Sus scrofa: one gene and its partners. The protein of the gene in region 7 interacts with the protein of the main gene of each other region in a pairwise test. Links are inferred from orthologs where the notes say so. Each region holds a gene or a part of one and is shown on either strand. Other genes may lie near its edges. The genes, in order: RABGAP1, BICD1, KANSL1, XPNPEP1, FBXO41, TFIP11 and DISC1.

The links.
Region 1: the proteins of DISC1 (region 7) and RABGAP1 interact in a two-hybrid assay, tested with the Homo sapiens proteins (2 studies listed by BioGRID and IntAct). The link is inferred for Sus scrofa from reciprocal best matches to the Homo sapiens genes DISC1 and RABGAP1.
Region 2: the proteins of DISC1 (region 7) and BICD1 interact in a two-hybrid assay, tested with the Homo sapiens proteins (2 studies listed by BioGRID and IntAct). The link is inferred for Sus scrofa from reciprocal best matches to the Homo sapiens genes DISC1 and BICD1.
Region 3: the proteins of DISC1 (region 7) and KANSL1 interact in a two-hybrid assay, tested with the Homo sapiens proteins (2 studies listed by BioGRID and IntAct). The link is inferred for Sus scrofa from reciprocal best matches to the Homo sapiens genes DISC1 and KANSL1.
Region 4: the proteins of DISC1 (region 7) and XPNPEP1 interact in a two-hybrid assay, tested with the Homo sapiens proteins (2 studies listed by BioGRID and IntAct). The link is inferred for Sus scrofa from reciprocal best matches to the Homo sapiens genes DISC1 and XPNPEP1.
Region 5: the proteins of DISC1 (region 7) and FBXO41 interact in a two-hybrid assay, tested with the Homo sapiens proteins (2 studies listed by BioGRID and IntAct). The link is inferred for Sus scrofa from reciprocal best matches to the Homo sapiens genes DISC1 and FBXO41.
Region 6: the proteins of DISC1 (region 7) and TFIP11 interact in binary tests that used the Homo sapiens proteins (3 or more experiments, as listed by UniProt). The link is inferred for Sus scrofa from reciprocal best matches to the Homo sapiens genes DISC1 and TFIP11.

The regions. Positions count from the first base shown.
Region 1 is NC_010443.5:263,856,097-263,860,300, forward strand, and holds the start of RABGAP1 (rab GTPase-activating protein 1), read left to right. Parts: upstream 1-1,404; 5' UTR 1,405-1,499; intron 1,500-1,556; exon of another isoform or gene 1,557-1,761; intron 1,762-4,204. UniProt on the Homo sapiens protein: May act as a GTPase-activating protein of RAB6A. May play a role in microtubule nucleation by centrosome. May participate in a RAB6A-mediated pathway involved in the metaphase-anaphase transition.
Region 2 is NC_010447.5:41,947,801-41,951,300, reverse strand, and holds part of BICD1 (protein bicaudal D homolog 1), read left to right. Parts: intron 1-2,205; coding exon 2,206-3,297; intron 3,298-3,500. UniProt on the Homo sapiens protein: Regulates coat complex coatomer protein I (COPI)-independent Golgi-endoplasmic reticulum transport by recruiting the dynein-dynactin motor complex.
Region 3 is NC_010454.4:17,086,612-17,090,111, forward strand, and holds part of KANSL1 (KAT8 regulatory NSL complex subunit 1), read left to right. Parts: intron 1-1,058; coding exon 1,059-1,241; intron 1,242-1,726; coding exon 1,727-1,915; intron 1,916-2,254; coding exon 2,255-2,403; intron 2,404-3,500. UniProt on the Homo sapiens protein: Non-catalytic component of the NSL histone acetyltransferase complex, a multiprotein complex that mediates histone H4 acetylation at 'Lys-5'- and 'Lys-8' (H4K5ac and H4K8ac) at transcription start sites and promotes transcription initiation.
Region 4 is NC_010456.5:120,336,996-120,340,495, reverse strand, and holds part of XPNPEP1 (xaa-Pro aminopeptidase 1), read left to right. Parts: intron 1-2,032; coding exon 2,033-2,125; intron 2,126-2,380; coding exon 2,381-2,524; intron 2,525-3,500. UniProt on the Homo sapiens protein: Metalloaminopeptidase that catalyzes the removal of a penultimate prolyl residue from the N-termini of peptides, such as Arg-Pro-Pro. Contributes to the degradation of bradykinin.
Region 5 is NC_010445.4:69,520,527-69,523,440, reverse strand, and holds part of FBXO41 (F-box only protein 41), read right to left. Parts: intron 2,589-2,914; coding exon 2,470-2,588; intron 2,296-2,469; coding exon 2,137-2,295; intron 1,933-2,136; coding exon 1,817-1,932; intron 1,685-1,816; coding exon 1,622-1,684; 3' UTR 1-1,621. UniProt on the Homo sapiens protein: Substrate-recognition component of the SCF (SKP1-CUL1-F-box protein)-type E3 ubiquitin ligase complex.
Region 6 is NC_010456.5:44,102,709-44,106,208, reverse strand, and holds part of TFIP11 (tuftelin-interacting protein 11), read left to right. Parts: intron 1-131; coding exon 132-288; intron 289-1,614; coding exon 1,615-1,742; intron 1,743-2,170; coding exon 2,171-2,323; intron 2,324-3,500. UniProt on the Homo sapiens protein: Involved in pre-mRNA splicing, specifically in spliceosome disassembly during late-stage splicing events. Intron turnover seems to proceed through reactions in two lariat-intron associated complexes termed Intron Large (IL) and Intron Small (IS).
Region 7 is NC_010456.5:58,908,455-58,911,954, forward strand, and holds part of DISC1 (disrupted in schizophrenia 1 protein), read right to left. Parts: intron 3,094-3,500; 5' UTR 3,026-3,093; coding exon 2,087-3,025; intron 1-2,086. UniProt on the Homo sapiens protein: Involved in the regulation of multiple aspects of embryonic and adult neurogenesis. Required for neural progenitor proliferation in the ventrical/subventrical zone during embryonic brain development and in the adult dentate gyrus of the hippocampus.

The DNA of each region.
Region 1 (4,204 bases), on a different chromosome or scaffold from region 7:
AATCTAATTATAATAGAGAAGTCACAAAGAGGATGCAACAGAGCACAGCTCTTTTTGATTTTTTTCTGGTTGATGTGGATGCAATAGCCACAGGAAAATGGTGCAGATGACTCATTTACCAGGAAAAGAGCATATGCTTTGAATAAAGAAAGAAGAGTGAAGGAGAGGCTGAGGAATAATTTCATAAATTGTCAAGACTTAATTAGCACCTTTATTCCTTACTTTTGTTTCCAACTACGTTGTAAATTTATTCTTATCAGGCACTTTAAACTTCATTCTATTGCCCTTGCTCTGTATATCTCTTTTGAATGGTTTTGTTTTTTTGGCAGCCCAGGGCATGTGGAAGTTCCCATGATAGGGGCTGAACCCATGCCACAGCAGTGACCACGCAGGATTCCTAACCCCCATGAGCCACAAGGAACTCCTTTAATGATTTTAAATAAAATCCCAGCCCCATCTTTGAGTACCACCCTGAAACAGCCTTGTTCCTTTTTTTTTTTTCCTTTTTTCTTTTTAGGGCCTCACCCGTGGCATTTGAAGGTTCCCAAGCTAGGGGTCGAATGAGAGCTACAGCTGCCAGCCTTTGCCACAGCCACAGCTACAGCCACACCAGATCTAAGCCCTGTCTGCAACCTATACCACAGCTCACCGAAAAGCTAAATCCTTAACCCACTGAGCGAGGCCAGGGACTGACCTGCATCCTAATGGATACTACTCAGATTGCAGATTCTTTCCGCTGAGCCGCCACGGGAATTCCAACCTTGTTCATTTCTGTTCTTTTTTTATGTCTCATATCTCAAGCAGCTGTCGTAGCCAGTAGCCCTCCCGAGTTGAAAGTCACAAGTTTTGTTACTTAAGCTGGACTCTAAAAATGACAAAAATCGTCATTCGTAATGTTTGTGATAAACCCAAGCGATCTATAAAAGGACCCATCACAATCCTTGGCACGTTTTTGCGCGGTCAATAAAGGCCAGGTGAATTAAGTATCATTAAGGGCCACTTTGAAACAGCACTTAAACGTTAAAGGTGAGTAGGATATTCCTTGCCCCAGCACCAGTCGTTTGGGGGTTGTACACCCTCTCAGACGCAACAGACGCTACCCAGCCTGTTCCCCTTGCCAGTCCTGCTTCCAATCGGTGATGTAGAAAGAACCCCCGCCGGTCCAAGCGCAAGAACATGGCAGAGTCCACCTCCCACCTGAGTCCAGCTCGTAGAGTGCAAACTCCGCGCAGGCGCAGTCTCTAGAGGCGGGCTAAAAGTCCAGGTGGGGCTTCGAGGAAAGGAAGTACGCCCCCGCCGCCCGCTGTTGGGCCAATTGGGCCACACGGTTTTGCAGCAGACCTATGAAACAGAGCAGGAGGCGGGGCGGAGGGCGGAAGGAGCCGCTCTCACGTGAGTAGGGGGCGGGGAGGGCGGGGGCAGGGCGGCTGGGGAGGCCCAGGCGGCGGAGCCTCCGGGACGGCGAACGGCGGGCGGCGGAGGAGGAGACGGCGGGTCGGGTAGGGCCGCGTTTCCCCTCCTCCTCCTCCCACCCTCCCATCCCCTAAGCCCGGGGGTGTCCTCCGACAGCCCTTGCGGGGAGCCAAGCTGTGTTCTCATCCCGAGGGGCAGGGCAGGCGAGACTGCGCTCAGCTCCTCGACGAACCGGGTTCTGAGAGCAGCCGTGATTGGGGGGAGGGGGAGCCCTGGTGTAGGGGGGAGGACGCATGCGCAAGCGACAACGCTCCGGAGCCCCTGCCCAAACCGGTTCCCCCTGTCTGGGTGGGTGTCTGTCTTCCCCGTCCTGCACTTGTGGCCATGCCTCTCGCCCCCCCAGCAAAGCCGGTTTGTCTGTTGACTTTCGTGTTTTGGGACAGGTCCTGTTTGGGAATTCGGCTGCTCCCTCCGCCTCAGTTTCTCCCCGTTGCCCGCTGGGCCTGTATCTGTGACTTGGGCTGGCTTCGGCCTCAGACTAGCTTCCTGGGCTGCGCCTAATTTGAAAGACTTGCTTTATTCTAATGTCGGTCTGCCTTCTCGTGTTGGCCTTGCTGTCTTGTTTTCTGCACCTGCAATGGAAGTGTCCCTGGTATCCCATCTCCCCAGATACTTCAAGTATCTGCCCACAATACCTCATTTCTGAGTTTTGATTCCCAACACTTTTCCGGGTTTTAAGTGTTGAGCCTGGGGGTGATTAACTACAGATTTCCAGGAGTTCGCTGTCCATTGCCTGGTAGTACTTTGGTGTTCTTGCTCTCACGCTGTTATTGTCTGCACCTGCTTTTACAGACATCACCATACTTACGGTTACTCGAGGATTCCTTTTTCTTGAAAACAACTGTCCTAGCCGACCGTGTTAAGTGATCATGTTATTAGTGCTCACGCTACAAGTGCTCCGTTAGTTTAAAATCATGTTCCAACTTGAATTTGGGAACTTTTGTTGTTTGCTGTCAGTGAAAGAAAAACTGTCGGGGGCAGGGTTTCTCAATTCACTTGATATTTTCATTCAATAAACACCTGTATTCACGTACATGTGACTGGAGTAGTAAGTTGTGTGTGTCTGTTTCCAGCTGCTTTGTTTATTTAGGAAGGAAAAAAAGCAATGGAGAGTAACTTGAACTGAGTTGGTCACATAAAATTGAAGTCTGAAAAGTTGAAAAACTTAAGTGCCAAGGGAGTGCACATACGTTTTGTTTTTCCTAATGAAGGACCTCTTGGTCTTAATTCTAGCGTGTATAGGGTGGTGTTTTAATATGTATTTAAAGCTTTTAAATCGAGTTTATTTATAAAAACTGAAAATGAATCGGGTGTTCGTTATGATCTTCTTTTGTAGACCTCAATTTGCATAAATAAAATTTGAATCCATGATTGGCTTGTATTTATTGGTAACATTTAAGATTCACATATAGTTTTAATACAGATTATCAACTCAAATTTGTAATTAAAATCGAACGATTGCTATGTCGTACACTTTCTTTTTATTTTAGTTTTATAACTCAGTTTACAGTTAAGTCAGGTCATTGTTATTAAGGTGTATGTTTGGGTAAGTAACCTGCCAACTGTATGCATTTCGGCATTTTTTGGCATAATGTTGTATTAGCACTTTACAGGTGCTTAATCTGGATTAAAAGGTAGTTTAGTGGGACTGTGTAAAAGTGTAGGCACCTGTTTCCTATTTTTTCTACTGCCTATTGAAAGAAGTGTACTATGTACATTATCTACATGAGGGGACATGATTTCCTATAAACATCTCAACTTTACACCCCAGATTGTTTTAAGAAGTCATTTTCTATGAGTATATTTCCAGCTAGACTTTACAGCCCAGGTTCTTCTAAAGAAGTCATTGTCTTTTATTGAGCATGTTGCCAGCTGAAGTGTTTCCTAGCTCAGATGAAGCCTATTTTGAAGGTCTCACAATTTCACTTTGATTGTTTTAACAAGTTACCTTTGAGTACAGGCTTCAGAAAATAATTAGCTTAAATCGTTGTAACTGTTGTCTTTATAGATACTGATGTGCTGAGGTTCTAACATAATACAGCTTGAGTATTGTCTTTGTAGTTTTTCATATAATCAGATATTACACTTTTCAAGCATATGAAATAAATGAGTATAAAACTCTTATTAATCTTTTTTGGAGATAGAACTCAAATGTTAACACAGTGCTAAATTAACCCAAGCAGAGTTTAGCGTGACATTTGGGTGCTTTGTATTGTTTTGTTGGTTTTCCATAGTTAGATTCTAAAGCGAGAAAATCCAAGGCTAAGGACTTAGCTGTCTGTGGATGTACATAATAAAACATAGTTTTAACAGCTGTTTCTTTTTTGCATAAAATGATTACCTGGTCTGCCCCTGCAACTCCAGTTTTGTGTTGATCCTGAGATCCTTATTCTTTGGAAAACTTGTGAGTCAAAACAATGCTGGATAGACCCTTAAACTTAGAACCACTCTTGTTGACCCTTAAGCCGCCTTGTTTCTTGTCATGTGCAAAGACTCTCTGACCAAATATGGCATTTTGCAAGTCATGAACACTTTAGTTTATAGAATTTAACCTGTTAGTTTCCCTTTTGTCAAATTAACCATAGTACTTTGAGATAATCATCAGAACTAATAGAGTTTTGTAAGGCCTGACTTTCCTCCCAGGTCTCTTTTGCTGTGGATCACAAAATAGTAAAAATAAAGCCTTAAACTTATTTTTAAGTTCATGCTTGACATTAAATAGTATATATTA
Region 2 (3,500 bases), on a different chromosome or scaffold from region 7:
CGCACATACAGCATATGGAGGTTCCCAGGCTAGGGGTCCAATTGGAGCTACAGCTGCCAGCCTAAACCCCAGCCATAGGAACACAGCATGTGAGCCACGTCTGCAACCTACACCACAGCAACACCAGATCCTTAACCCAATGAGCAAAGCTAGGGATCAAATCCGAAACCTCATGGTTCCTAGTCAGATTCATACCACTGCGCCACGATGAGAACTCAATGTGATACTATTTTTTTGGGAATGTTTGGTTTCTGTAGCCACAAGTACATACTTTGCTGTCTGTGAGTGAACTAACAGATCCACAGTGACCAATAACTGATAAACTTTGAATGATGTGACTGATCACTGGTCATGATGTCTTTACACGGTGATTTTGTAGATTGAAGCAGCAAAGTTTGTACTTTGCACATTGCCCATGGTTAATATACTGATCATTGAAATTTGAGCTTTGTTTGGAGAGGACTGGTGTTTTAACTAAACTATGGTCCCTGAAATTCACGCATATTAGAATTTGGCCAAGTGAGGAATGTACGTAATAATTACCTGAAGGATATCAAATACCATAAAGAATCATAAAAATAAATATAAATTTATAAATAGATACAGATCTCTTAAAGTCATGTGCTGGTTAAAATATTAATTACATTTTAATTTTTGATATTTATTTTTACTTGCATCCTAGGAATTAGAAGAATTTGGAGGGATATAACATATAATCCAGGAAAGGAGTTAGGAACCATGAGGTTGCAGGTTCAATCCCTGGCCTTGCTCAGTGGGTTAAGGATCCGGCGTTGCCATGAGCTGTGGTGTAGGTCGCAGACGCGGCTCAGATCCCACGTTGCTGTGGCTCTGGTGTAGGCTGGTGGCTACAGCTCATATTAGACCCCTAGCCTGGGAACCTCCATGTGCCGTGGGAGCAGCCCTAGAAATGGCAAAAAGACAAAAAAAGAAAAAAGAAAAAAATATATAATCCTGGAAAGCTTGAAAGTTCAGCTTGACAACTTCCTTTAGATGTAACGACATTCAACATCAATCTGTTATTTTTAAAGTAGGTCTCGTGGTTTATTTAAAAAAACAAGAGAAAATAAAGAATGTAAACAATATTATTTAATTATTGAAAAACATTGTTACATTATAAGCATGTAGAAACTCTTTAAATCATAATAGTAACTACTTATATGCAGAGACAGAAAATGGTTTAAAAATTTCTCAGGTGGAGTTCCCATTGTAGTTCAGCAGGTTAAGAACCTAACATAGTGTCCCTGAGGATGTGGGTTTGAGCCCTGGCCTCACTCAGTGGGCTAAAAATCCAGCGTTACTGTGGCAGTGGCATAGGCCTGCAGCTGTAGCTCTGATTCCACCCTTAGCCCAGGAACTTCCATATGCCACAGGGGTGGCCATAAAAAGAAAAAAAAAGTCTCAGTTTACAATTTCTTATATACTTGTATTTAATGAGACAGCATTTTATGTTAAGACTTGAATATTTTTCAGTATACAATAATACTTACTACCTGTACAATAACTGCCAAGTTATTTAAATTAATTGCTAACTTTTAAAATTCCTATTTTGAACTGAAGGAATTGAAATGGTTTACAAGTTGTTCTTTTAGCCCTAAAACTTTATATTTTCTGACTTTTGTATTAAAAGCTATCAAATTTAGTGCATGTCTGTTTTGGGGTTAAATGCTTATTTTTTAGGGGATAGTTAAGGTTCTCAGTATTATTTAGTAAGGTAAAGCCTTAAGTTTTAAATTTGACTTAGGGTTGGGCTCTGAGAAGGAAAGGACAATTCATAGGCACCTTGAAACAGTCACTTTTCTGATGTTCTCTAACGCTTTCAAAATAAGGACAAAGCCAAGTACTATCTCTTGAAGTCATGTTATGTTTTCTGAAGGATGTTAAAAGATTAAAAAAATACATAAGATTGTTTGAGTAACATTCAAGTTTCATGAGAGTGTGTGTATAACACATAAGAATTTGGATGGGTAAATATGCAGAGCATAATTCTTTTGGAATGATGTACTTTTGATTGATTGACTTACCAGAACTGCAGAAGTAAGAAAACATACTTCGATTCAATTTGTAGGAATGGGAACATTGACTCTGCTGCACTTTTTCAGTGTATGCATGTCCAAATGTGAATGGGTCAAGTTCATCACTGGCATTGCATTGAAATCATTCAGAGACTTTCTTTTGCCTTTGCAGGTAGAGCGGGAAAAGGCCATTCTTCTGGCCAATCTCCAGGAGTCACAGACACAGCTGGAACACACCAAGGGGGCGCTGACAGAGCAGCACGAACGGGTGCATCGGCTCACAGAGCACGTTAATGCCATGAGGGGCCTGCAGAGCAGCAAGGAGCTCAAGGAACTGGATGGGGAGAAGGGCCGGGACTCAGGGGAGGAGGCTCACGACTATGAGGTGGACATCAATGGCTTAGAGATCCTTGAGTGCAAATACAGGGTAGCAGTAACTGAGGTGATCGATTTGAAAGCTGAAATTAAGGCCTTAAAGGAGAAATATAATAAATCTGTAGAAAACTATACCGAAGAGAAGGCCAAGTATGAGAGTAAGATTCAAACGTATGATGAGCAGGTTACAAGCCTTGAGAAGACCACCAAGGAGAGCGGAGAGAAGATGGCTCACATGGAGAAGGAGTTGCAAAAGATGACCAGCATAGCCAATGAAAATCACAATACCCTTAATACAGCCCAGGATGAGTTGGTGACATTTAGTGAAGAGCTAGCTCAGCTTTACCACCATGTATGTCTGTGTAATAATGAAACGCCTAACAGGGTCATGCTGGACTATTACAGGCAAAGTAGAGTCACCCGTAGTGGCAGCCTGAAAGGGCCCGATGACCCCAGGGGACTTTTGTCTCCACGGTTAGCCAGGCGGGGTGTGTCATCCCCAGTAGAAACAAGGACCTCACCTGAACCAGTTCCAAAGGAAAACCCAGAGGCCAGCAAAGAACCAAGCCCAACCAAGACCCCCACCATCTCTCCTGTTATTACTGCCCCACCATCATCTCCAGTGTTGGACACAAGTGACATCCGCAAAGAGCCAATGAATATCTACAACCTTAATGCCATAATCCGGGACCAAATCAAACATCTGCAGAAAGCTGTGGACCGGTCCTTGCAACTGTCTCGTCAAAGAGCAGCGGCACGGGAGCTAGCCCCCATGATCGATAAAGACAAGGAAGCCCTAATGGAAGAGATCCTCAAGCTCAAGTCCCTGCTGAGCACAAAACGGGAGCAGATCGCCACACTGAGAGCAGTGCTGAAGGCCAACAAACAGGTGACCTCATTCTACTGATGGGCCGTGCTAGGCAACACTTTCGTTTATCCCTTAATGTTTCTGAGAGTCTAGAACTGTCAGGATGAGGGTTCAGATTCCTGGTCAGTGGAGGAATAAAACAAACTATAGCCAGAGCCAGATCAGAATGTAATAATTAGTTTGAAGTGCTGAATCGATGGAACAAGAGAGTAGCTATGCCCCAC
Region 3 (3,500 bases), on a different chromosome or scaffold from region 7:
CCCTTCGTGGCTCAGCAGAAACAAATCTGACTAGCATCCATGAGGACGCAGGTTCGATCCCTGGCCTTGCTCAGTGGGTTAAGGATATGGTGTTTCCGTGAGCTGTGGTGTAGGTCGCAGGTGCAGCTCGGATCCCATGTTGCTGTGGCTCTGGTGTAGGCCAGCAGCTATAGCTCGGATTTGACCCCTAGCCTGGGAGCTTCCATATGCCACAGGTGTGGCCCTAAAAATGAAAAAAATAAAAAATTACTCAGTGCCACAGTCTCAGGAAAATAAAAAAGGAAACTAACAAAATGAAAAGATGAAAGAAACAGTAATGACCCTCAAAAAGAGTATAATTAAGCCTAAAAGAGGAGCTCCCCTGGTGGCCTGGTGGTTCAGGATTCAGCATTGTCACTGCTGTGGCTTGGGTTTGATCCTTGGCCAGGGAACTTCTGCATGCTGCAGGTGTGGCAAAAAAGAAAAAAGTCTAGAAGACTAATTTGTGATACTGAATATTAACTGATGAGCTCACAAACTTAGGTACTGCAGGTGGGATGTGGTGGAGGTCTGGAGGAAGGAGGGGAAGAAGGTGTAGTTCTTGTTTAGGGGAAGGTTTAGTACCCAGCACAGTACCTAATGAAATAGTAGACAGAACATAGCCATTGAATGAATGTGTCCTGATTAGCTTTACATTGATAGAAGTAGGTTTGAAATGTTTGTTTCTTGAAGAATAAGAACAGGATGTATGTCAGTATTTCAAAACGGTAAAGTTAACAGTTAGAACATACCAACAAAGAAAAAAAAATCCATCATCTAACAAAAGGTTTTAGACTTTGTTTTTATTTGGAACTTGAGAATAAAAGGCAACAGCGACTTGCCTATGAATAAGAGTGACTTTCAGTAAAGTTCCTATAAACAGGTCTTCCACGTGATAGCACTTGTCCTGCTTGGTTACCCTGCCACCGGGCAAATAAAAGGATGTGGTGAGGGTCTTGCTCACTGGAGAGCTGGGGTTACTGTGAACATGCCTCAGAGCCTGGGGTCTGGACTAACCTGTGGTGTTCTGTTCCTTGCAGATATTCCCACAAGCCTGCACTTCCAGAGCATGCTGAAATCTCAGTGGCAGAACAAGCCTTTTGACAAAATCAAACCTCCAAAAAAGTTTTCACTTAAGCACAGAGCACCCATGCCAGGCAGTCTGCCAGATCCAACTCGTAAAGACAGGCACAAGTTGGTCAACTCCTTCCTAACAACAGCGAGTAAGTTGCAGGGATGCAGAGAGTCCTCCAATTACAGTTCTGTTCCTTTTATGGTCTCCGGTTATTGATGTGGCCTTGGCAATGGCACTGTGTTGGGGTTGGGAGAGGCAATTGACTTGTGTAAATTCAGCTCACAGTCGTCTTTTTCTACTTGTCTTGGATGCTCTCAGATGGACTTGGAAAATCATTCCAGACACCATGTGTCTTGGGGCTCAGTGAACAGCCAGTGGAGACATGAAGTTGGGTCCATTGGGCAGGCTCTCTTCTTAGTCTGGTGTTGCATTTTTCTCTGGTTGAGGGCCCTGTGGGCTCCCTGGCCTATCCTGGCCATTGTGTTATTTGCTGGAAGCTTAAGTCCCAGAGGATTGTTGTGCTGCCCTTGGTTTGTCTATTACTGGCCTAGAGAGAACTCAGGAGCTCGGAACTCAAATAAGAAAAGAATGAGAAAAGATACTTCACAGCTCTTTTTCTGTTCCCCTCTTCAGAGCTGTCCCATCACCAAACCCGGCCTGACAGGACCCACAGGCAGCACTTAGACGATGTGGGGGCTGTGCCTATGGTGGATCGAGTGACAGCGCCAAAAGCAGAGCGCTTGCTCAACCCACCGCCACCAGTGCATGACCCAAACCACAGCAAAATGAGATTGCGAGACCATTCATCTGAGAGAAGTGAAGGTAGGGCCAGGCCCGGCACCTCTGCCTGCATTTGCACCTGCTCGGCTTTCCGGGGCAGCCTGGGCTTCTTGTCATTGTCCCTAGCTTTGTCCTGCACTCTCTAGAAAGGCAGAGTAGAAGGCCCTGCTGCCTCTGAGTGTGGGTCACTGCTCTCACTGCTGCAGCAACCTCTGCTCCACCCCCCACCTCCTGCCAACCAGTTTGCTTCGTCTTTTTATCCTCTAGGCTTAGAAAGCATTTTTGCCTTTCTGTGTATTGCTGGCATTCCTTGCTTGTGCTGGAAGACGAGCTGGTCAAGGTAGCCACATATTCATTCCTCTTTTCTGTTGACTTCTGCAGTGTTGAAGCATCACACGGACATGGGCAGTTCGAGCTACTTGGCGGCCACCCACCATCCACCACACAGTCCCTTGGTGCGACAGCTCTCCGCCTCATCAGACACTTCTGCACCCACCAGCTCTAGCCCACAGGTTACAGCCAGCACGTCTGTAAGTACCTGTGGGGAGTTGGCCGGACAGCCCCTCTGTGGTGACACTTCTTTCAAGTGGGTCTGGAGGACAGTGTGGAGAAGGGGTTGTCAGAGCCAAGGCAATTATAGGGACTCAACTCATCATGACATTTGTCATTTTTAAGTCAAAGTCATGCTATTTGGTCTTCTGTTATGTAGTTTTCCTTGGGTTGTTTTTTCATAGTAGGGATGAATCTGAGCTAAGCTTGCTGTAAAGACAAACTTTTTTTTTTTTCCTTGGCTTTTTAGGGTATATGGAGGTTCCTAGGCTAGGGGTCAAATTGGAGCTGTAGCCACTAGCCTACACCACAGCCACAGCAACACCAGATCTGAGCCGTGTCTGCAGCCTACAATGCAGCTTGGGGCATTGGGTCCTTAACCCACTGAGCGAGGCCAGGAATCAAATCTGCATCCTCACAGATCCTAGTTGGGTTCATTAACCACTGAGCCACAAAGGGAATCCAAACTCTTAAAGGGATCTATGGCTCTTCAAGATCTGTGGGTCTGTATTTCACAAAGAACTCAGTGATACCATGGCTGTAACTGTATTGGTCCAAGAAGTAAACACAAGAGGAGGGATGCAAGAGAGATGCCTGTGGGCCTTGGAGACCCTTGTTTTCTGTGTTTTTACTGTCCTGGGGGGTGCTACACTGGTGTGTTAGGGCGCCTGGAGGGGAAGGGGCACACGGAGCCCATGCGTTGAGGTGTACAGAACAGCCTCACAGGTTCAGCAGGCCACACGGACATGTAGGACACCCAGATGGCAAGCTGTCTGACCTCCATCTGCTTTTGCAGCACCACACTCCACCCTGTAAGCTGTTCGCACGACCGTTCTAGACGCATGTTCATGTTCTTATGCCTCCTTGAGCACATATACCTGTTGCTGCTTTGTGCCCGTTAAGAGGGTCCTTTATATAGCAGTCCTCATCGTAACAGCCAAAGGCTCCTACTATAGTGCTTATTGTGTCAGTGCTAAGTTATTTTAGATGCGTTACTTCATTCAGTCCTGTAATGCCCTTTGACATGTAGGTGGTATAAAAGATTCCCATTTTGTTGGCAGGGAAACGGAGACTTGCC
Region 4 (3,500 bases), about 61 Mb from region 7:
CTGTTTCTCAAAGATCTTTTTTTTTTTTTTTAATTTGCCTTTTAGGGTCACACCCGCAGCATATGGAGGTTCCCTGGCTAGGGGTCAAATTGGAGCTGTAGCCACCGGCCTATGCCATAGCAACATAGGATCCGAGCTGCATCTGTGCCCTACACCACAACTCATGGCAACACCAGATCCTTAACCCACTGAGCGAGGCCAGGGATCGAACCTGCGTCCTCACAGATGCTAGTCAGATTCGTTAATTGCTGAGCCACGAAGGGAACGCTCTCAAAAATCTTTTAAAAAATATAGAAACGTTGAAGTTATAGGTGATGTTACCCCAGTTCTTTCTCTCTCTTTCACTCTCTGTCTCTCTCCACACACACACACACACACACACACACACACACACACACACACAGATGTTCAGGGTTGTATAGCTGTTATAAATGGATTGGTTACCTCACCTTTAAACTTTTTAATTACATGCCTCTGTTGATGGCTCATGCGTCTGCGTGTATATATATTTACTTTATAAGAGTTATATGGATGTGCTAGTGACCATCTGTATTTTCAAATACAAGCAAAAATTAGTTGCTTATTTTTTTAGGAAAAGAACAGATGGGAGTTCTGATCCTTTCTACTTGCACCCCCGTGGATCATTTAGCGTGCCCCTGGAGTGTGGGCATCTCTCCTTGGGGCTGTAACTCCAGCTGTTAGATGCATAGCACTTTGGGGTCAGAGTGTCAGAGGAGCAGATACTGTCTGCCTGTTCCTTAGAACAATCCTGGGGATGGCTCCTCCCTTCCAGCCCCTCTCTAGTTTCTTCCCTGTGCTGACTCTTCCCTAAGCCTACCTCCTCAGCGTCTCTCCTGCATGGGGAGTTTCTGGTGGGTGTGGTTGGGGAGTGATTCACCCCCAGGGTTTTGCCAAACATCTGTCTGCTAGTAGATAACATGACTTCATCCTGTGAAAGTTCTACCAGGGGCATTAAAGAAACTTCATTAAGAAGTGGCTTGTTCAGCAGTTTGAAAAAATATAGGGCCAAATCAAATAGCAAGATAACAGCTCAGTGCAGCTGAGTATTTGAGAACTGAAATTCATGAGCTCATTTCTTTATAAACCTTTGAACTTCCTTTCTGTGGTTATATGATTATCAGTACTCAGGGAAAATGGTAAAAAATCAGTACTGTTTCAGAATATGTGAACTTTCACTCTTAATGTTTTACCAAATGTTATTTAGCAAAAATCTGATGAAAAAAGTATACATCCCAAATATACAAGATATTGGGATGGATTAAAGAAAAACTGGGATATCAAAAATGACTTCAGTTCCTTTTGCAGAGCTGATTGATGTCCTGTGACTAGTGTTGCAGAAACCGAGAGGGCTGTTTGCTCTTGGTAGTGGGAGGCCCAGGGAACCACGTTAAGGACACGATGTTGGGCTTCTGTGTGTTCCTCTTATAATCTTTAATCTTTGGATAGATTTCTCTGCTGCCAAGACGTGTGCTCAGCCCTCCAGTCAGACCCAGGGCCTTTTCTCTGCCACTCTGCCCTCCAGATAAGGGGAGGCTGCTGTGGTGTGTATTCCACTTACCTGCTGTGGGATGTCAGGGAGGCTCCCAGCCCCAGCCTTCACCATATCACCACCCAAGCTCTCATCACATGACCAGTAGTGGAAAAGTGACTGGAGGCTGATGAGGTGATCTTCACGATGACAGCACATACCTACGTTGCAGTGATTCTCGGGTTGCCTTTCACTGGGGGTCTAATGAAAATCCTGCTTTTTTTTTTTCCTTCTGTCTCACCCTTATATACCGTCTTACCTTATGCTTTCCTTATATAGTGTCTTACACTTCTCATTACTTTCCAGGATTAAGGGAAGTTTAGATTTTCCAAGTGCTGTCAATTCTCTTTAGTAAAAGCACCTTCTTTAGTTTGTTTTTATTAATTCACCAACTATCATGATGTTGGTGAATTGCATCCTGCTAGATGGGACAATGAGCTTGGGCCCCCAGGAATTGTTTCTTATTAGTTCTTCCCTCTGTAGGTCTGAAGGACACACCAACTCAGGAAGACTGGCTGGTGAGTGTACTTCCTGAAGGATCCAGGGTTGGTGTGGACCCATTGATCATTCCTACAGGTGAGTAAGCATAGACCCTTTCAGCTTGGGTGAGGAAGTGGGTTCTAGATGCCTCTCCATCCTCCTTGTTTGCTTGTGGAACGTGGAACATTTAGGGCTCAGCATGAATTGATGTCACAACAGAGGTCAAGGTGAGGAGAAGGGTTAGCAAAGGGCCACAGGAATATTGCCTTTCAGAAGGTGCCAGGCTCTCAAAGTGCTGCTGTCTGTAAAGTATGTTCCGCTCTTAGCTAGACCACGTGTGCTTCTCCTCAGATTACTGGAAGAAGATGGCCAAGGTTCTGAGAAGCGCTGGCCACCACCTTGTTCCTGTCAAGGAGAACCTTGTGGACAAGATCTGGACAGACCGCCCTGAGCGTCCGTGCAAGCCCCTCCTCACCCTGGGCCTGGATTACACAGGTCGGAACGCCATGCCCTGCCTTCACCTTCAGCCCCTACACTTGAGTGAAGGTTTTCTGAATCCAAGTGGAGCTTGAGCTGATGGGGGGATTTTGACCTGTCCAAGCCCCTGAGACATTTGATGCAAGCAGTTCAGTTTGTTTCTACTCTTGTCACCTATTTCCCCTACTTTGGCATAGTTTATTTTTGCAGAGCTCTTCTGGGTGCTACTGAGATGTCTTTTCTACCACTCAGTTGCTCACTGCCCCTTTAAGACATGTCTGATACTGGAAACAGAGACTAGAGGTTTCTAGCTTCCATTTCCTTTTCTTCTGTCTAGCATTAAACCTAGCATTTGTAGGTTTACCTTTCCAGGCCCCCCCCACCCTCTATCTACCTTGTACTCTAAAGGCTTTGGGGGGTGGGTGGGTTTCTTGGGCCTGTGTGACATTGGTGAGTAAGGAGCAAGTTCTGTGGGAGATGCAAGTGTGGATTTCTGGAACAGTGAGAAGTGTGGAGGGAGAGGCCTGGGAGGTGGGGCTGCAGGGGAGGGAGCCTTGCTGTTGAAATGGAAGAGGAGAGGTGGATGGGGGATGTCTGGAATGTGGGCCCGTTGCCCAGAGGGGTCCTGGGAAGAAAGCATTACAGCCCAGACTCTGAGCCAAGTTTTAAACAGCGTTCCCGAGCTGATCTTCAAAGCAGTGTTTGGTTGTGGAGGCAGCCGCCAGCTCACTTTCCTTGTGACGCCCTCACCTGAGGGTGTTGCAGTTTGGGGGGATGGGTCCAGTGGGTGGTCCAGGGTCACCTAAACATTTCCATCAGTGTATTTTGGATTTTGTTTAACTGAACAGGGCTCTGACCTTTTGCTTGTACAAGAGGGGAGAACATATATGGCTGATAAGGCTTCTGTTCAACTGACACATGAGTACCTACTGTGTGCAGGACACTGCCGTGTGTTGGTTGAATAAGACAGATGCCTGCCCCCTTCACAGGTGGC
Region 5 (2,914 bases), on a different chromosome or scaffold from region 7:
CATGGGGTCCCAGCTCTGGAGGCCTCGTTGGAGGGAACCCCAGGGCAGGTCTTGATGTCCATGCCAGGTTGTGGCAGAGAGTTGGGTTCCTGGAAAAGACTGAGAAACTAGAGGAGCCCAGCCCCAGCCAGGACCAAGGGCCTAATAATCAGGGCTGAGAGCCCATCCTGTAACAGGAGAGAAGGAACCCCTAAGATGGATCTAGGTTAATGTTTGAAAGAACTTTCCAAATGAAGGTTGGCAGGACCCACAGCTTTTGTATCACTGTGGGAGTCCTGAGAGGAGGAACTGGGGACACCTGAGTCTTTAAAGCCATAGTGCCAGGACCTGGTCCTTTGGGAACCATGCAAGGGTCAATGAAGGCCCCCATTTGCGTATTAAGCCAATGGTCTTGCTCAGGTCCCAGCACTGCCCCACGCAGAAGATGCCCAACACAGCCCTCAGCCCGTGGGGCCAGCAGAGACTGGAGGGAGCAAGTCCGACGAGGGGGGCTCATCCTCATTCTTGGCCCCATGGGTCTGGCTCCCTACCAAGGCCACAACTGCAAGCAAGCTAGCCAGATGAGAACCAAACCAAACCACGCCTCTTCTGGGCTCCTCCAGGTCCTTGCACAGAGGGCAGCCTAGTGACTCCCTTCCCCAGAGCCTTGGGGACCCAAAGGCCATCAGATTCCTGCCCAAGCACCTGGGTTAGAAGTACATTCCTTGAGGACATGATCTGTTTCTCATTGCTGACAGCAGTTCCCAGCTGGGACCTCGCCCCTCCAGAGGCTCAGGGCTGGTGGAAGATATAGAAACATGCACCTTTTAGCTCTGAATTTAGTTCTGGTGTGTCGTGGGGTACCTGGCAGCTGGGAGGGGTCTTTTTTCTACAGCAATAAAAACACTAAGTGTTCTCAACCTGGCAACAGCCCCCTCTTGGGAGGGGTGGTCTTGATGTCCTGGGGAAAAGTCCTGGATGAATGTTTTGTCCCTCAAGCCCACTCCCACTCACTCACTGCGCCCCCACCTCCCACTCTGGGCGGACCACCTTCTCAGACCCCTCTGCCTGTCTCTTAACCCTGGAGAATGCAGACCCAGAGCCCTGAGGGCTGCCTGAAGGGGGAGCCCCACGGTGGGCTGGGACAGGGCTGGGGGAGAGAAGAGCCCTCCTTGCAAGTCTGAGCTGCCGGGTGGAGCAACCCTCTGGCCTGGGGCCCAGCAGAGGCCCCCGACCAGGAGGCCGGACCTCCGAGAGGAGAGGCCTGCCCCAGCCAACTGAGCAGCTGAGGAGCCCTGGGTGGTTGGTTATTGCAGATCTTCAGAGCGATGACACCGAGTGCTGGTGGTGACCCAGCTCTTCTCTGGCTGTGCCCAGAAGGCTGCTCCAGCTGGGGGTGGGGGTAGGGGGAGTCAGGGGACAGCTTCTGTCTGAGCTCCTGCCCAGGAGGGGCTGTGCTCAGGGTCAGGCCTGTTGCTCCACTGTCCCAGCAGGAGGACAGGAGACTGACAACCCCTCCCTGGAGGCCGGGGAGGATATCACTAGGCCTCCAAAGGTCAAGTCCAAATCAGGGTCCCTCTGGAGGTCCAAAGAGAGCGCCCTGGCGTGGGGCTGGCAGGGGCCCTGCCGCCCCCAACCCGGGTTAGCAGCCGCCTTCCACTTTGACGTGCAGGATCTTAGAGAAGCCGGGCCTCCGTCTCAGGGCCTGCAGACCAAACCTGTATTAGTTCCCCTCGGGGCCAGACAGGTGAAGCCCTCCCTTCAAACACCCGAGTCACCAACCCCAGCCTATGGATGCCACTTGGGGTCTTGGACGGCCTCATAGCCAACGGCTCACCTGGAGTTTTGTCACCATGTCCTCAAACAGCTTCTGGGCCTCAGGACTGCTGGGTTCTTTGAAATAATCGGCAATCCCAATCTGGACCACAATGGACTTGAGGTTCCGGCAAATGCCTGGGAAAAGGTGGGTAAGGTGGGGGCCGGCGTCTGACCTGGGCAATGGGGCTGGTTCCTCTCCTTTTACTAAGTCAGAACCCTCTGAGAGACAGTTGTGTGCCAGGCACGGGGAGCGGACCCATGCTGCCCTGGGTTCAGCGGGGCAAGGGGGGGAAGGTGGAGGGTGGGGTCAAAGAGCAGAGGGTGCCCGACATCGCTCACTGTTGAAATGCAGCAGGGCCTTGGGGGTGACAGGGGTGGCCGTGAGCACCAACATCTCCAGTCCCTTCAGGCCTTCCCGGCAGACTTCCGCCGCCACCTCCTGGGTGATCTCTGACACGTGGTCCAGCTCCAGGACCTGCAGCCGCATGCAGTTTCTCGCTAGGAAGAGGGAAAGGAGGGGAGGTCCTGCTGACAAACACCCCAGCTCACCTCCTGCCCAGCGCGGGGCTACCGCCGCCACCCGGCCTGCAACCCCGAGCCCGGCTGCGATTTCAGTGTTGCATCTATGCCTGCCTCCCATCACCCCAGACCCCGGTCCCAAAGAAGACTCACCGAGTGATGCCAGGCCCTGCACCCCACAGCCAGCACCCCCGACCCCCAGGGCCCGGAGGTGGGGCCAACAGCGACCGATCATCTGCAGGCAGCGGTTACTGAAGCGCGTGGGCTGCTGGCTGGAAAACAGGGTCGAGGGAGGGCTGTCAGGGAAGCCACTGGCTGCAGGGTCCCCCAAGCCTGCTCCTCTTTCGGGGCCGGCCTGCGAAGCAAGGGCCCAACAACCACCCAACTACTCAAGTCAGAAACCTGGGATCATCCATGACCCCTCCACCCTCACCTCCTGCCAAGACCTGCAGAATCTGATTCCTGAATAACTTCAATCTGCACTTCCGACCACCATCAACAGTTATCTGATTATAACCCAGTCTCTGTGCTGGCTCATCCTCCACGCTGCTGACACTGAGCCACTCATGCCCACACTTTCTCACTCAGTCATTCAACA
Region 6 (3,500 bases), about 15 Mb from region 7:
GTAGGTTTGATTGGTGAGATATTTTTCATAATGCTCTGTGACTGCCAGGTCATGCTCCCATCAGCTAAGCTTGCTTTATTACGTTTTCCTTCTTTTTCTATTAACTAAACTTTGATTTTTCTCCTTTTCAGGGTGGTAACTTTAAACCCAGTCAGAAAGGTTTTGCAGGAGGAACCAAGTCGTTCATGGATTTTGGCAGCTGGGAAAGACACACAAAAGGAATTGGACAGAAGCTGCTTCAGAAGATGGGCTATGTCCCTGGAAGGGGCCTTGGGAAGAATGCACAAGGTGTGGCAGTCCCACCCCACAGTCTTGCACTTGCTGTCAGGCAGAGGTGGGAAGAGCAGGGAGGGCAGTGGCCTCCTCTTTTCTGCTTTTTCACTGTTCGGAGGGCTGGGACCCTGCAGCCTGTTCTGCCAGCACAGATGCTGTGCTCTATGCTTCATGCTTTATCAGAACTCAAGTTACATAAAATACTTGTTTCGGCAGGAGGGAGAGGTTAGGGTTTAAATCAGGCTGACAGGCTGAGAACAGGCTTCTTTCTAGCCTGCCCGGTGTTTCTAAAAAATCAAACTGGTTGCCAATATTTAAAAAGCAGACAGTTTCACTTCCATTCTAGAGTTGCCTGGCAGTGACTGGTTTAGCTGAGTCCTTGCTGTCCCAGTCAGCACCCAAGGCCTTCTCCTGGAAGCTGCCTCCACACTCCCCTTTTACTCCAGCCCACTTTCCCTGTTCATATTAATGTTCCTGGACCCTAAAGGCATATGAGTTTGGACTCTTGCTCATGCGGGGGCAGGACAGGTAACTATTTTTTAGTTTTGCAAAAAGCCAGTTACCTGTCCTTCAGGAATATCAGTAAAACATCAGGTGTTGCCTTTTGTTTTACAACACTCACCAGTGGGATGTCATCAGTAGTATTCTCTGTAATTCAGATTCAGCCCCTAGGTATTATAAAGTTAGATATGGATTGTGGGTTGAAAACATCAGCCGTATGAAGAATCCATGGACTTGAGTGGCAATGGCATGGGAGTGAGGGAAGTGTGCTAATTGGGATTTCAACAGTACTAGCTGGAAGGGGCCTGGTAGGAAGTCTGGGGTGTGGCAGTTCTTCACTGAAATGCAGTCCTGTTTGTAAACTTTTACAAGAAAAATACTTATTTTCCAGGCTTAAACTTGTTATAGCTCATAGGAGATATGAACTCCTAAGTAAAATAGGTGGAGTTTCATATTAAATGGCAGCTTCACCTTACTTCAGTCAGAATCAATATAATATCTGAATTAATGGGCTTCCAAATGAGCAGAGTATAGAATCTAATTTGCCTGAGATCCCAGTTATAAAATATTCCTGTCCACTAAAAAAAAACCAACAAGTCCAAGTAGAAATGGAAGTCTGTATTTAGGATACAAACAATATCAGCACACTGTTTTGTGGCAGCACACACGCTCAGAAGCTTCTGGCCACACAGGAGCCAAACGGTGTCGTGAGGGCAGAAGCATGTTTCCTTCCTGGGTAGCATGTTACTGTGTGTGAGGACCAGGAGTGTGGTCTCCCTGAGTGGCTCACTCACAAGAACTGCTGTGATCTGAAGTCTGTCTTTTGCTGCAACTTGCCAGGTATCATTAACCCAATTGAAGCCAAGCAGAGAAAGGGGAAAGGCGCGGTGGGGGCGTATGGCTCAGAGCGCACCACCCAGTCCCTGCAGGACTTCCCCGTGGTTGACTCTGAGGAAGAAGCTGAGGAGGTGAGTCAGGAGATGGGCTGGATTCTGTCTCTGCCTCTTGGGACTGTTGTTTGCTCATTTGTTCACTCGGCCAGTGTTTAGAGGTCGCTTGCACAGCAGGTGCCAGACACTGCTGAAGGCTGGTGTCCTGCCGTGACCAGGCGTGGAGCCTGGTGGACAGGGAGCAGTAAAAAAGTAACCACGGTGTGGTTAGAAAGAGCAGTTGTGCCAGGAAGTACTCAGAAGAAAGTAGGTTGGCTATGTGGGGAAGGGGTCTGAGCCTCAGTATTTGTAAGGCAGGGAGTGGGCATCAAGCAGTGTCTTTGGATGGTCTTAGTGTTATGGAGGGACGGTGCTTAGCATGGTGTTCTGAAAGCCTCAGTGTCCCCACTTGCGGGAAAAAGTGGCCCTTTCTTGTTGTGATGGACTATGTTATATTCTTGATTCAGGAATTTCAGAAGGAGCTGAGCCAGTGGAGGAAAGACCCCAGCGGAAGCAAGAAGAAGCCCAAATACTCTTACAAGACAGTGGAAGAGTTAAAAGCCAAGGGCAGAATTAGCAAGAAGCTCTCTGCTCCCCAGAAAGAGATTTCTCAGGTCAAGGTATGGGGGGCCCATGGACACCTGGTCCAGGATGGAGGCTTGCAAGACACACACACAGTTAACCACAGCAGCATCAGTCACCCAACACTTGCTCATAAGGTTCCTGTGGGTCTTCTGGGCAGGCTTTCTTGTGTGTCCTGCTTTCTTGCGTGGCAGTAGCCTCTGCCCATTTCCTGCACTCCCATTTAGGCTCATTGTTGTTCCTACCCTGTGCCAGGTGCTCTTCACTACACTACAGTGCTAAATCCAGCACTCCAGCTCTGCAGCTTGCTGTCCGTGAATTCAGTGATGTTCGTGGTATTCTGTTGCTTCATCTTTAACTTTTGTGGTTTTGTTGAGAGCAGGTTAGCCTTATCTTTGTGGGGTTTTTTGTTTTGGTCTTTTGTCTTTTTAGGACCGCACCCACGGCATACGGAAGTTCCCAGGCTAGGGATCTAATTGGAGCTGTAACAGCTGGCCTACGCCAGAGCCACAGCAACACCAGATCGAGCCGCGTCTGCAACCTACACCACAGCTCACAGCAACGCTGGACCCTTAACCCATTGAGCGAGGCCAGGGATTGAACCTGCAACCTCATAGTTCCTAGTCACATTCATTTCTGCTGCGCCAAGATGGGAACTCCTGTTTTAGACTTTTTAAAATGATAGATTCCTAGAAGTACAGTCACCAGGTTAGAGAATAGGAAGGTTGCTCTCACTCACTGTGACCAGGAGTGGGCCCTCAGCCTTGAACTTAACATTAGACTTTTAGCCTCTGTTCTGTCCATGCAGTCTCTGCGTTCTCCCTCACTGTCCCAAGTAGCCAGAGAACTGTGGTGACAGGTATCTCTTGTAGTTTGTCGTAGGAGATTGTGTGTGTCATGGAACCCAAAGTCTGGAGTGGGGTTCTCAAAGGTCAAGGTGTTGTGTATCAGGTTATTTGGGGACCTGGTAGGAAATGCAGATATTTAAGATACAGCTGGAGGTTTTGCCTCAGAGATCTGGCTGGGCCCGAGGGCTCATGCTTGTTATCTTTCCCCAGGTGATGCTAACTTATATACTCTAAAGTGGTGGCGGTACTTCTGTTACTGTATAGACATGATCACATCTCCTCAGTCTTCTTCAGACATTGAAATTAGCTCATCTCCTTGGGTGCCTTTGTGGGTTTTGTATGTTTCATGTTATTTTAAAATTAAAAA
Region 7 (3,500 bases):
GGAGCTGTAGCCACCAGCCTATGCCAGAGCCACAGCAACACGGGATCCGAGCCGCATCTGCAACCTACACCACAGCTCACGGCAACGCCGGATCCTTAACCCACTGAGCAAGGGCAGGGATCAAACCTGCAACCTCATGGTTCCTAGTCGGATTCGTTAACCACTGCGCCACGACGGGAAATCCCCGCCAAGATTTTTTTTAAAGGATCTCAGAAATAACGTGTTGGAAATTGTCATTTAGAGTCCGAAAAGCATCATGGTACAAACCTCCACCTAGTGCCTGTATCCTTGTATGTGTGCCTCTCAGCCCCTCTCCTTAGGCCTCAGACAGACAACCACAGAAATCTGTCAGTTAGATATCTATGGCCCATCTCTTTTTTTTCTTTCTTTGTTTTTTCATGGCCACACCTGCAGCATATGGAAGTTCCCAGGCTAAGGACTGAATGAGAGTGGCAGCTGCCAGCCTACACCACAGCCACACCAGATTTGAACCACATCTGTGACCTACACTACAGCTTGTGGCAACGCTGGATCCTTACCCCACTGAGCGAGGCCAAGAATCAAACTCACATCCTCATAGACACTATGTCAGGTCTTTGACCCACAGAGCCACAACAGAACTCCCTGTGGCCCATCTTAACAAGCTAAATTATTTCACTGAAAACAAACAGTAATCAAGCACCAGGCAGTAGGCCAGGCATCATGCATCCAAAAATATTTAAGAGGAGTTCCCGTCATGGCTCAGCAGTTAATGAACCCGACTAGTATCCAAGAGGATGCTGGTTCAATCCCTGGCCTCCCTCAGTGGGTTAAGAATCCGGCATTTCCATGAGCTGTGGTGTAGGTCACAGACACGGCTTAGATCCCACGTTGCTGTTGCTGTGGTGTAGGCCAGCAACTGTAGCTCCGATTCAATCCCTAGCCCAGGAAACTCCATATGCCATGAGTGAGGCCCTAAAAAGACAAAAAAAAAAAAAAAAAAGTCTGAGTCAAGTGTAGAACTTGGACCCACAAGCAAATGATTATTAATGTGATGAGCACTGAATGGGGCACATCCAAAGGGCTGAGGGACAGGATGGAAGGAGAGGGTCATCGGGGGTGGGGGGGGGGGTAGGAGAGGTCTCACACAGAAGTGGCTCTGCCACCTCCCTGGCTGATAAATCCCACAGCCAGGCTGAGACAGGGCAAAAGGGCCGGGGCCAAGAACATCGGATATGCAGTAGAGAGCAAAGGAGATCCACTGCTGGGAAGGAACATGAGCCTCACATTTTCACGTACTCCTACCAAATCCTAATGAGACTCGACTTCCCTGCTTACGCATGCATATCCCCACATGCACACGTGCACACATGCACACAGCCCAGATGGAAAACACAGTCTCTGAACAGGATGAGCCAATGGGTTGCCACAAAGCCTCTCTGCGCGGGTTTCTCTGGGGACTTCTCAGGGTAGAACAGCCCTGTCTACCCCCAGCTGTACCCCCTCAGATGAGTGGACAGCAAGTCATGATGCTGGAACTTGCTTCTATACCGCCTGTCCCAATTTCCAAAGCACTCACATTCCAGCTTGAGCCACAGAACAATCTTGTGTGATGTCAGCATCTCTAAATAAGGAAACTGAGGGCCTGAGAAGTTTAAGGACCAGAAACAAAATCAGTAGTCCCTGCTGCTGAGGATGCCATGAGCACTGCGCATGCAGAAGCAGCTCCAGATCGCCCCCAGTTTGGGGCATCATCATCTTTATATCCACACAGCGACTGACTCCACCTCCCCGGCTCCCTGTCCCCCTTCTCCTGTTTAAAACAGAGCAAGGCTGAGCTAACCCTGCATCACCCAGACCAGAAGCTGCAGAGGAGCCTGAAGCCAACAGAGAGCGAAGCAAGCATCTAAGGGACAGAGGATGAGAACGAGACCAGATTAGAGTTCCAACAGAAGGAGGAGAGATGCAAGTGTAGCAACATTTTTCCATGGCCAGTCACCACAGGGGCTTCCAGTGGGGACTGGGGCAACCCCAGAACCGCCGTTTCCTGCGGCCCCCCCCCTCCTCAGTGAGACCATCCCAGCCCACAGGCTCGGGACACACCCACCTCCAGCCGCCTCCGCTGGCCCTGCAGGCAGTGCAGCAGCGCAGGCTCACAAGTGCGGAGCAGTGGGTCCCAGAGGTCAGCATCCTGAGGGTGGCTGCCCTCGGGTCTCGAGGGATCCAGGGAGCAGAAGGAGGCAGCGTCCATGTCCAGCAAAGGAAGCATCTCGCACTCCAGTCTGGGGCTGTCCCCCGCCATCTGGGCAGCATCTGCCAGGTCCTGAGGAGCCTTGAGGGGTGAGGCGGGAGAGAGAAGCTGAGGGTGTTCATGGGGCCCGTCCACACCAGCAGCCTTGGCCACTGTCTCCTCGGGGCTCTGATGAGAAGCCTCAGCCTCTCTGGGTGGCGGACAGCCTTCTGCTTCTCCACGTTCCCCGGCAGAGACCAGGGAGAGGCGAATGAAGCTGAAGTTGGAGGTGAAGACATCCTGAGAGCCAGGAGGGGTGGGGTCGACCTTGGGGCCACTTCCGAGGCTGCAGTTGGTGCCACTTCCCTCCTCTGGGGATAGAGAGCCTCTGGCCCAGGTGTCCAGGGCTCCTTTCCCACAGGCTGCTTCCCGACTCGGGCTCGGAGCCTCCCAACTGTCCATGGATGGTGGCGCCCCCTGGCATATGTTGTCCCCGGAGCCACACGACCTAGTCAGCCTGCTGGGCAGGGCGCGGCCACCTCTGGGCTGAATCCCTGAGAGACCCAGGGTTCCTCTCCCTGTTGTCAGAGCCAGGCCTCGGGGGCCCGTGGAGGTCCAAGCAGAGGCTGCTGTGCTCCAGGGAATGAGGGTCCCGGTCGAGGGACCCTGCCCCTGGCCTCCAGGGTCACGGCCACATGGTCCTGTCCTGGGTTCAGAGTGCTGGGTCTCCTCACTGCATGCCCCTCCCTGGGCCCGGAGCAGACTGCCCACTGCTGGCGAGAAGAACCTGATCCGGGGCCCAGCTGCACTTCTCATGTAGCCTGGCCTCCGTGCCAGCCGCCTCCTCCGAAAAGACGCTGCAGGTGGTGAGCCATCTTGGCGGCCTGGGAGGAAAGAGGACACGCACCATCAGCACACACATCTCCCCAGCTCAGCTGCAGCTGCATTTGGAGAACGTCCCCGGGTTGGGGGCAACCCTCGGTGCATCTGCCAAAGAGATGCTGGTGCAATGGCCATGGGGCCAAGCTGCTACCCAAACCCTGATGATCCCTGGGAAGCGTCTGCCTGGGATGTGTAGAAACTGCACAGCATCCCAACCCCTCTATTTCCAGAGCAGCCAGCACTGCTGTGAGTTATACTGACAAGACTGCAAGCGCCTCAGAGACCCAACTACGGCAGCACATTCTGAGCCTCCAGCATCTTGCCTGTTGCTCTTTTAGGCACACAGAGCTTTCCCCCTGGAGCGGCATGGAAAGCAAGCACTCTGAAGCCAAACACCAGCACACTCCCA